Linked DNA regions of Bombyx mori. The main gene of each other region encodes a partner of the protein of the gene in region 3 in a complex. Links are inferred from orthologs where the notes say so. Each region holds a gene or a part of one and is shown on either strand. Other genes may lie near its edges.

Evidence for each region. Proteins that work in one complex are often made in the same cells at the same time.
Region 1: the proteins of DNA replication licensing factor Mcm2 (region 3) and DnaJ-10 are in contact, whole or in part, in a crystal structure (PDB 7CJ0), measured with the Homo sapiens proteins. The link is inferred for Bombyx mori from reciprocal best matches to the Homo sapiens genes MCM2 and DNAJC9. Residues at the interface, in NP_004517.2 of Homo sapiens: Glu65, Glu66, Glu67, Asp68, Glu104; in NP_056005.1 of Homo sapiens: Lys185, Arg189, Arg192, Lys244.
Region 2: DNA replication licensing factor Mcm2 (region 3) and DNA replication complex GINS protein PSF1 share a complex: the UniProt entries of both Homo sapiens proteins name them as parts of the CMG helicase complex. The link is inferred for Bombyx mori from reciprocal best matches to the Homo sapiens genes MCM2 and GINS1.

The regions. Positions count from the first base shown.
Region 1 is NC_085115.1:6,238,754-6,242,516, forward strand, and holds the start of DnaJ-10 (dnaJ (Hsp40) homolog 10), read right to left. Parts: upstream 2,203-3,763; 5' UTR 1,972-2,202; coding exon 1,881-1,971; intron 1,777-1,880; coding exon 1,504-1,776; intron 1,057-1,503; coding exon 929-1,056; intron 10-928; coding exon 1-9.
Region 2 is NC_085118.1:17,161,227-17,164,989, forward strand, and holds DNA replication complex GINS protein PSF1, read right to left. Parts: upstream 2,264-3,763; 5' UTR 2,134-2,263; coding exon 2,062-2,133; intron 1,800-2,061; coding exon 1,735-1,799; intron 896-1,734; coding exon 445-895; 3' UTR 329-444; downstream 1-328. UniProt on the Homo sapiens protein: Required for correct functioning of the GINS complex, a complex that plays an essential role in the initiation of DNA replication, and progression of DNA replication forks.
Region 3 is NC_085113.1:10,851,379-10,854,044, reverse strand, and holds part of DNA replication licensing factor Mcm2, read right to left. Parts: intron 2,053-2,666; coding exon 1,913-2,052; intron 1-1,912. UniProt on the Homo sapiens protein: Acts as a component of the MCM2-7 complex (MCM complex) which is the replicative helicase essential for 'once per cell cycle' DNA replication initiation and elongation in eukaryotic cells.

The sequences.
Region 1 (3,763 bases), on a different chromosome or scaffold from region 3:
TATCATTTTCTGAAATGCAATGCTAGATATCTGATGAGAGTTTCAAAAATAGCAGAGTCAATTAAAGCTCGAATTGCTGTTAGCTGCAAAATGTTGCTGTTCGTTGAAAATATTTAGTATACTCCAATGATTCAAGAATTAGGGTTAATTAATAGTCAACACTAAAGCATCAATACAGTGAGGTCTAAAATTACAAAACCATCACTGTAACACCCCAAGAGTTTGATAAAAATGCCAATCACTTATAATGTGAAATGTTTTCATTCACTTGGTAAACATTTTTTTGTATTAGATGGTTTTAATTGATGTTAAAAGATAACCAGAACAAAGTGATTATGATCCGCATACAACTTGAGGTAAAAGTATTGGTTAATTCCAGTATTCTAATCCTGCAAGGACTATTCTTCAAAGAAAATGTGTATTAACAAAAAAACCATGTAGTAAAAATATATAACTAAGTATATTTTACATAATTAATAATGGTAGGGTGTAGGGTAAGCCCATATACCCACAAGAGAAGCTATCATCATCCCGTCTATATTTTCCATGTGGCAGCACTCTAGTATTCATATTATAATGTCTATATGCTCTGGTAATCACTTAATCCAGGTGCATGAACGCAGCTCATTCACCCTTGTAAGCAATAAAAAAACTTAATCAGAAGTTTCTTAACTTACAACACTCGAGTTTAATTATATTTTAGAATGATATGTTCATGTTCAGTCATGTACGAGTTGCTGTAATGAATGAAGTGTAGTTAATACAATTGTGTTATAATTATAATAGAACCAACAAAATTTTTAACTTTCGTACTTACTATGTATATTAACACATTACTATAGTTACGAAACTAATGTTCAGATGGTTATGTAATAAAAAATATACAAGTATAATAGTTGATTGAACGTTTTTGTACTTTATCACTTACATTGAGGATTTCCCTGATTCTCGGTTCATGTTCAGTTCTAGCAAATTGAACATGATCTGTAATGTAGTCCATGTCACCTTTACCAGTTAGATAGGCTTGTTTTAGATCATCCTTCTCTTCTTGTGAACCTATGGGAATAATACTAATAATTTCAGTATTAGATAATCAGTACAATTAGTGGAGTAAAAAAATATTTGCTTGTTCATATAATTATTATAGGTTGGTGAGGCTAGATCCAATAGTCACCCTGACCTATATTGATCTACTGTGACTACTCCAAAGGTTTAAATGTCTTCTAAAGTATGTCTATAAAATATACTGCCCAAATTCAGCAATAGCTGAATAGCTTTTCTTCTGCTGATTATCATGTGTTGTATACATGTGTTGATAAGTTGTTTCTGCCTCCCCAAAATAGCTGTAGACTGCATTAGTAGGGAATTTTAGGTTGCAACGAAACAATACAAGAGTTTAAGTTCATGGCATCGAAGTTAGTTGTTGATTTCTGGTTGTTATGGCTCTATGAGGTACATTAAATAAAATAAATCTATTTAAGCATTTTGTAGTCAAGAGCTCACCAGTATATTCTTTTTCATAAGCTTTTATGTCTTCTTCTGTAATTTTTTTGAATAAATGCCTCCAGTAGACTGTCCAGTCTTTGTCTACTAAGACATTAAAGTCATCATCATCAACACTCTTTGTTTCATCGTAAACTGCTCGTTTGTTTTTGTCGCTAAGTATTTCATGAATACTTCCAAGTACTTTGAACTTTTCTGTTGCCTCTAGTTTTTGATCTTCACTAACTCGATCAGGATGTACCTTTAGCGATAGTTTGTGGTAGGCCTTTTTCACTAAAATATGAAACATGGTTAAATACACAATACAAAATAGATTTGTAAGCAGTGTGAAGATTTTACGAAATTTAGTATGAATGACTTTTTTGTTGCTTTCTTACCTTCTTTTTCGCTAGCAGTTTCGGGTATTTGTAATACTTCATATAAATTTGATGAATTAAAATACTTTTCACATAAATCCAAGAGACCCATTTTGTGATTTTTTTATAATACAGTTATTAGCCCAAATAACCACGATTTCTTAAAGTTATAAGTTATTAGTATATATAGTGTAGTTGAAATATTATTCTTTCCTTGCTCGGAAGTATCAGGATCTTAGAAATTGTACATTGGTTAAAAAGTGTAACGAATATACTCCGAAATTGCGTTACCATACGTTCTGTTTCAGTTAATGACAAAATCAAAATAATGCGCGCGCGATTATTTTTTTAAGGGATTTTTTGACCTGGTAACTAAGATCTTTAAGTCATGTCTTATTTTAATTTATAATCTTATTTTTATGAAAAATGATAATATGGAGTGAAATTAAATGAAATTATATGAGATGAGATGCAATGGGATGAAATATAATCTTGGTAAAATGGTGGTCATTTACGGAGATTTTTTCAGTGGACTTTCGGAGGATCCTGAGAAGTTACGTCCAGCGGCTTTGTTTCATTTTCCCACATTTATGCACTTTCACAGATATTAAACATTTAATAAACCACCGTTATACGGTACACATTTAAACCTGAAGAAACACTAAATAGACAAAATAAAACAAATCACACAACTTCACTCCTCGCGTTCCCGCCAAAAAGTTTTTTGGTATCTAAGCTCATACAGCCTTATCTGTTCTTTATAATTTCTGAAATAAATTTTCAAAAAGACCGAGGCCAGGTCTTTTAGGTATATTATATCCAAATATACAGCAAGTTATATACAGACACTTATTATAAACAACTTACGGTTACTATTTATATACAAATCAAGACTAATGTACAAATATAAACAATTTTTACATTAAAATATTTTTTGTTGCAAAAAATTTACGTACATATCCTTCTCGCCAAGTCTCCCCGCCAAAAAGTCCTGCGTGCGCGATCTTAAATCTTATTCACAGACTACATAGTATAGAAACACAGATTAATATATTCGTTACTGCGTAGCATAGACATACTACGTAAGACTCCGTAAGATGCCCTACCTACAAGTGAACCTAGACCCAGATAAACTCAGACCTAGTACTTAACTGATGAGGATGACTGGTACATTAGGCCGGTTTCTTTCCAATGCCGAGGGCCTGACAAGGCAATGTACTGTCACGACATTGAAATGGTGCCGGTCGATCCGATTTAAGTGTCAACCGAGCGCGGATTAGTCTCGGTGCTACGCACGGGAGGTGTGGGCCAGATGATTTGCTCATCTTTCGGGTACCTAGTTCCCTCGCTTAAGGTGGCCGCGGGGCTTTTGTCAAGAGTGTCACTGCTATGGATCGCTATGGATGCGATCCGAAAAAGATAAAAAGATGCAAACAAATGGCTTAAAGTTATAAAATGTACGGTTTGCAAAATACCCTACTCTAAAATAATAGTTGAGTACTAGAATTTGAGGGTTATGAATTCGCATGGGTAGGTACCGCGCCCTACCTATTTCTGCCGTGAAGCAGTAATGCGTTTCGGTTTGAAGGGTAGGGCAGGGCAACCGTTGTACTATAAAAACTGAGGCTTTAGAACTCCTATCTCAAGTTGGTGGTGGCATTTACTTTGTATATGTCAATGGGCTCCGTTAACCACTTAATATCAGGTGGACCATGAGCTCGTCCACCCAAGAAAGCAATAAAAAAAGATAGTCAAAGTCGCAATCCGGAGATCATCAGGATAATGGACACGAATACTACTTAAAAACAAATCTCAAATGCCAAAATTGAAAATTCTTTGGTGTCATAAAATATTTGTTATGCCTTACAGCGTGAAATTCGTCACCAAACGTTTTACATTCCACG
Region 2 (3,763 bases), on a different chromosome or scaffold from region 3:
GGTAGGAAAAAAAAAAAAAAAAAACTGCGCTGTATCTTTTTTGAGAAAATAGTTTTTTTCAATGCCAGCTCATTAACAGGGCACGTAAATATCAAAAACGCAAATGCTGCCACACACCTAAACAAAAGTTCTAAGTCTGAAGTCTGATATTAGGAGACCTCGGGGCTGATGATGATATTGATTGTTGCATCATTTGATTTGACTACAGCAAGCATTATATTCTTTAGGCCACTATGACTGCTCTTTCACCCATCAGGGATAGTAAAAAAAATGGACACACACTTGCTTTATTAGGAGGTGCAAATCTAATCAAGTCAAATCACTAAGCTTATGGTAAAAATAATCTTCTCATAAAATTTATTTCCATACAGACATCAAACATTATTTTTCACAATATTATTTAAAACATAAAATGGTCAAAAATTCACTATTGATAAAATAAATTCACATTATTTGTTTCAGAATACCCTGTCGTATTAAAGTCTGACATTCCGAAGTAGGAAGATAATGTCTGCTATTCTTCTTAAGCATAACCACATCACCATCTTCAAGTTCTAATTTACCATAATCCACAACACAAAGCACTTCGATGAACAATGATTTAGGGGGCTTTAAATTTTCAGTCAAGTCTATGCCACTGTATCCTATATCTTGGCCTAAAGATCTCATATACAAAGCAAGATTTCCAGAGTATTTTGAAAACCATTGATATTCATCATCAGAAAGCAATTCTCTGATATCTGGAGGTAGTACTGCACCAAATTCCCAACGTAATGTCTTAATTTTTTTCATTCTGTTGTAGAGATAGGCTAATATACACCTTTTATTGCGTTCAAGGGCAGAATGTCTTACTTGAACTGTGGTCCACAATGATCTGTTTTCTGTTGTAGCATTACTAAAAATAGTAATTCAATTAATACAAGCGGTAATCATAAAACAGTTTGTTGTTATCTTCTTCTTCTATAAATGAACTTGATGAGCAATTGAACTACATATTTTTGAAATTTAAATTAAAATGGACTAATAGCAGGTAACCTTATTACAACACCACATGAGACTCAAGTGCATGAAAATATTAACCCCTTTGCACTAAATGACGTTTTCGTTTGTGCGGACCAGCAACTCAGACCGATTTTGGCCAAATTAGAGAAACATTTTAAAAGTACTTTAAGATCAACAAACAAACACACATTTCTCTATTTTTTTTATATACCAAAAACAATAATTAGTACTATTATTAAAAAACAACTACACTGTAAAAAAACTCAATAAGCTGAGCTAAGATTTGGTTAGAAATTGAAGCCAAGCCTGTCCACTAAAGTATTTTTAAGCAGATACATAACCGTAGTGCTGTAACAAATCTGCTGGGTGAGATATCTGTGCTACTCAAGCACAACCAGTAAAGCTATCAAATCTGCTGGGCAAGTTATCCAAACTGCTTGAATGTGAAGAGTTATAAAACAAAAAAGTCATAAAACTTTTTTTTGCATAATTGGGTGAGAGATCTCAGGGCTACCTCAAATCCCATGAAGCTAGCATAACCCCTCGAGGTTAGTAGCAATAGATTGACAAAAAAAAACAAAAATAGACCTTCCTGGAGTTACAAGGTTACCTGAGCACTTTTGCATCACATGAAACAGAATAGGAGGTTACAGAATAGAAGTGATCATAGCAAATCTTGCATATTGAACAATAACTACTTGCAGTTATATTAGTAGAAAACCAGTGACTTACGCATCATTCATGTTCAATTTAAATAATAAATGCATTTCTTCTATTATTTGGCGTATTTTTTCATCCTGTAACATGTGAAATACTATGTACTTTATAAGATTAAAAGACACAAAAATAATAATAGGCGGTGCTATAACAATAATTTAATATACTTGTCACTTCTAAATGGATTTCTGACTTTATAGTGCATATGCATAGACAAACAGAATAGATGACAACCGGATAAAATCTTGGTTTCGGTATTAAATAGTAACTTAAAGCTTTCATTAGATATAACAAGTTTATTCTAATTCCAATCCCATACCTAGATGGGCACATCCAACTTACATTATATTGATCTATTGTGTCAGGATTTCTATCTACTTCTTTAATTAGTTCTATAACTTTTTCTGCGAACATTGTGTGTTACTTATTTACTTAACAATGAGAGAGATAACAAACAAAATACTTTAATAATTTAGATAAAAACATTTTTGGCATTGGCGCGAAAGTTGTTATTAATTTGATGAGTGACAGCTCAAGACTGTGACAGATAGTAAATTTGACATTTTATGATCGGATACGCATCATTTTTGGATGAGTTCGAAAATCACAGAAGCCTTGATCTTTAAATCTATAATACCAAAACCTAATCTTAAGATATTAAAATTTTCTAGAAGTGGGAGCTAAGTCATACAAGTAACTTTTTACAGATAATCACTTAGTAGCAATACAGCCAATAATAATCTCACTCTCCTTATCGGGTCGACCATCAGATCCAATTACTCTTGCAAAGACGCTTTCAACTTTAACATTAGGAGCAGACTTAGGGACCCTGATAACCGTACTCGTCGAACTCAACAAAGTGTTCGACGTGCAAACTAACCTCCCGGTGCCACCTCTGGGACATGATGATTTCATCATTCCCGCTGAATTGCGCCTCCTTATCAAGCGGATAAAGAGGCGCAAGGCATTGTGTGAGGACGGTATTCTCACCCTTGCATTTTTCCACTTTCTAGAATCAGTCGTGTCTTTTAAGACACGGCTGTTTAATTACATTCTGTCTACAGGATATTTCCCGGGAATTTAGAAGGACAGAAGACAGCCCTCCAATTATCGTCCGATTACCCTGTTGTCGTATGTGGGCAAGTTGTTCGAGCGGCTGCTGGTGAGAAGAGTGTCTCCGCACATCCTTCTCAGACCCGAGCAATTCTGGATACGTAGCAGTCACTCAACAACGCTGCAATTGGTCTGCGTTATGCACCTTTTGACGGTCCAACGCACGCCAGTACATGGCGGCAGTATTTCTCGATTTCGAGAAGGCCTTCAACCGTGTCTGGCGTGCGGGGCTTATCTGCAAGTTGGTGCAGAACACGGACTTCCAGCACGCCTACGTGCGACTACTGGGGTCGTACCTGGAGGGCAGAACTCTTTTTGTCGCGGTCAAGAGCGCTAAATCGTGGATGCGCCCAGCCACAGCTGGGGTTCCCCAAGGAGGTATCCTGTCACCGATCCTCTACGCTCTCTACACCAACGACATTCCCAATGTCGTTACGTTGTGTTAACACACAGAAATAATAAGCAGTAACATATCTATGACGGCGTTAACGTTACTTCTGTTATACAGCACGTGCAATAGGAGTGAGTCATACACAAGCCAGGTGCGCCGGCCGTGTCACTCCACTCGTAAAACAGCACGTGCAACAGGAGTGACTCATAGATAAGCCAGGTGCCCCGGCCGACTGCGTTTGCTCGGTGCACTTACTATATCCTTGTTACATTGTGTGATTAAGTGACTGTTTTACGTACTGGTTAAGGTTGGATAAATGTTAAAGTGAATTAAGTTATCATATTGTTGATTAAATCAGGAATCAAAAAGTGACTTCGTTTTACTGGGTGTTCAACAAGATAATATCCCCCGCCCTAACCCCCCCCCCCCCTCCCCCTCCCACATAATACGCAATGGAATTGTTCAATGAGTAACGTATGTTCGTCTGCTTTTTGTGGCCACAATACCAAACAATTACAACTTCTAGTTTTGTTGATCCGA
Region 3 (2,666 bases):
AATTTTCACTGGTGGTAGGACCTCTTATGAGTCCGCCCGGGTAGGTACCACCACCCCGCCTATTTCTGCTGTGAAGCAGTAATGCGTTTCGCATTGAAGGGTGGGGCAGCCGTTGTAACTATACTGAGACCTTAGAACTTATATATCTAGGTGGGTGGCGGATTTACGTTGTAGATGTCTATGGGCTCTAGTAACCACCACTTAACACCAGGTGGGCTGTGAGCTCGTTCACACATCTAAGCATGAAAAAAAAAAAAAAGTGGTAAAACGTGGAGACATCGATTGCATTTTCTGATCAGTTTTAAATAACATATTTTTTATGATTTTGTAGTGCTTACAGCTCTTTCGTCCTTTTTTATTTCTCTATCATATTCTAATAATTTTCAGCGCCTTTTTTAAATTTACCCTTATTTAGGAGATTTTAAGGGACACTTATTACACACAGAGACGGTTCTCCTTACCTCTACCCTCCATGCGTAAGACAAATGCGAATTATTTTAAATAAATCCGTGCGGTTGTACAGTCGTTCATTAACTACTTTGCCTTTGAGTGTTAATAACATTTCGTATCTAGTTCGTTGCCTTTATAATTGAAGTGGCTTGATTCAAAATACTTTAATTTTTTGGCTAACTCCAAAAATGTAATTAAAGAATTATTATAATATTTTAGTTTTTCAAATTTAATACCATAAGGTATGCAGCTTTTGATTTAAAAGAGACGGAAAGAGTACGTTTTTCCTTTTCTGGACTAAAACTGTATTTTATAAACTTTAAGGCTTCGTCAAACAGAACGCGTAATTAGCGCGCGTCAGAGCGCTAAACTAACGCCGCGCTATGACGCCGAGATGTGTTGTACTACGATGGTAACATACCGTCAAACAGAGCCCCAGCGCTATAAGTACGCAGCGCTCTGTCGCGGCGTTAGGGCTGTTTGACAGTATATTACCATAGTAGTACATCTCGTCGATAGTAACACATCTCGGCGTCATAGCGCGCCGTCAGTTTAGCGCTCTGACGCGCGTTAATTACGCGTTCTGTTTGACGAAGCCTTAAAGAATACATGTTTACATAAGTCTTTCGCGGTATACGTAAAAATTTTTAGTTAGACCACTTCAGTTCTAACGTTGCGACATACGAAAGGTGCAGTTTGGGTGCCGCTGTAGATTTTTTGTGGTAATTTCCACAGAGTTCCACACTTGTATTTCACGTACTTATTACATTCTATAAACACAAAACGTTCAACTGGGAGACACGAGGACAAAGATTCAGCTGTACACGCACCGGAATGCACGACTGGTTTAGTGATTACGTATGACTAGAGTAGTATGAATATACTAGATATTTTGTAGTCACGCTGGTGTAAAAATACGTACAATCACAGTCTGTCCGTTGTGACTTTAATCATGGTTTAAACATTACTAGAGGTCCCGCAGTAGTCGAAATTCGACTATAATTAATTGGAATTGCAAGTTTGTACACTATTATGATTGTATTCTATACTTCTATAATCACAAATTTCGCCAAGACCACACTATAAAAAATATTAACAAAGACAATTAATATTTAATCTGTTCTCAATTTGACAACAGACGTCAAGAACAAAAGTTTGACAATAAATAGTATGCATGCGTGTGTGCGTCAAATACAAATGTAATGTTTTCTTTATTGATTTAATGTATCTTTTATGCATTATTTAAAACAAAATTAGCATTGTGCACTTCTTCTCTATATTCTCTATAAGTGTGGAAAATTTCATACTCTTCCGTCCGCGCAAGTTTCGTAAAAAGGGATACAAAGTTTTTGCTTCACGTATTAATATATAGATTAATATTGATGTAATTAAAAGTTAAAATCTATCGGGATTTCGTCACAAAAACGAATCTATGTAGGTAGAGAATGGTGCGCGGTGTGACCTGTCTCATGGCTCGCATGACGCTGTACTTCTGCGTGTCGACGAAGCTCTCCAGCATGGTGCGGATGGCCACGTTCACGTCCTCCTCGCTGACCTGGCTCCGTAGGTGCATGCGGGCGTGAGCCTCGCACATGCGGATCACTGAGACACACACACATTACACATTTTAAATCTATATATATAAAAATGAATTGCTGTTCGTTAGTTTTTTTTTATTGTTTAGATGGGTGGACGAGCTCACAGCCCACCTGGTGTTAAGCGGTTACTGGAGCCCATAGACATCCACAACGTAAATGCGCCACGAAAAAGACCTAACAGCTCAAGGGCAGCTGCTTCGAGAATGCATTTACTGCCGGATCGGAATCACGACCCACTAAGAAGGTCCGGCGGAAAACTTAATGGGGTCTGTTTATGGGTTAGGTGCGGTGACCCCCCTAGGTCTAAGACCTAGGCCGCACTACGGTTTTTTCCCGGGAGCGGTTAACCGTTGTAACCGTGAAACCGCTTAAGACGCACACACTACAATTATTACCCGCGAATTCGCCCGCGATTTTCACAGTTTGAAGATGGACAAATTTCAAAAGAGCAGTGTTCCTCTGGTACTAAGAAATAGAAAAAAAATACAACGAAATTTTCACAACTGTTGGGTCCGTCCACTTACTAGCAGTAGATTTGAGAAAGGTTTCTTTCATAAGAAATATCAAAATTTAAGAAAACCCCTAGAGATAGTTTTCAATCACCATCAGATGCCAGTA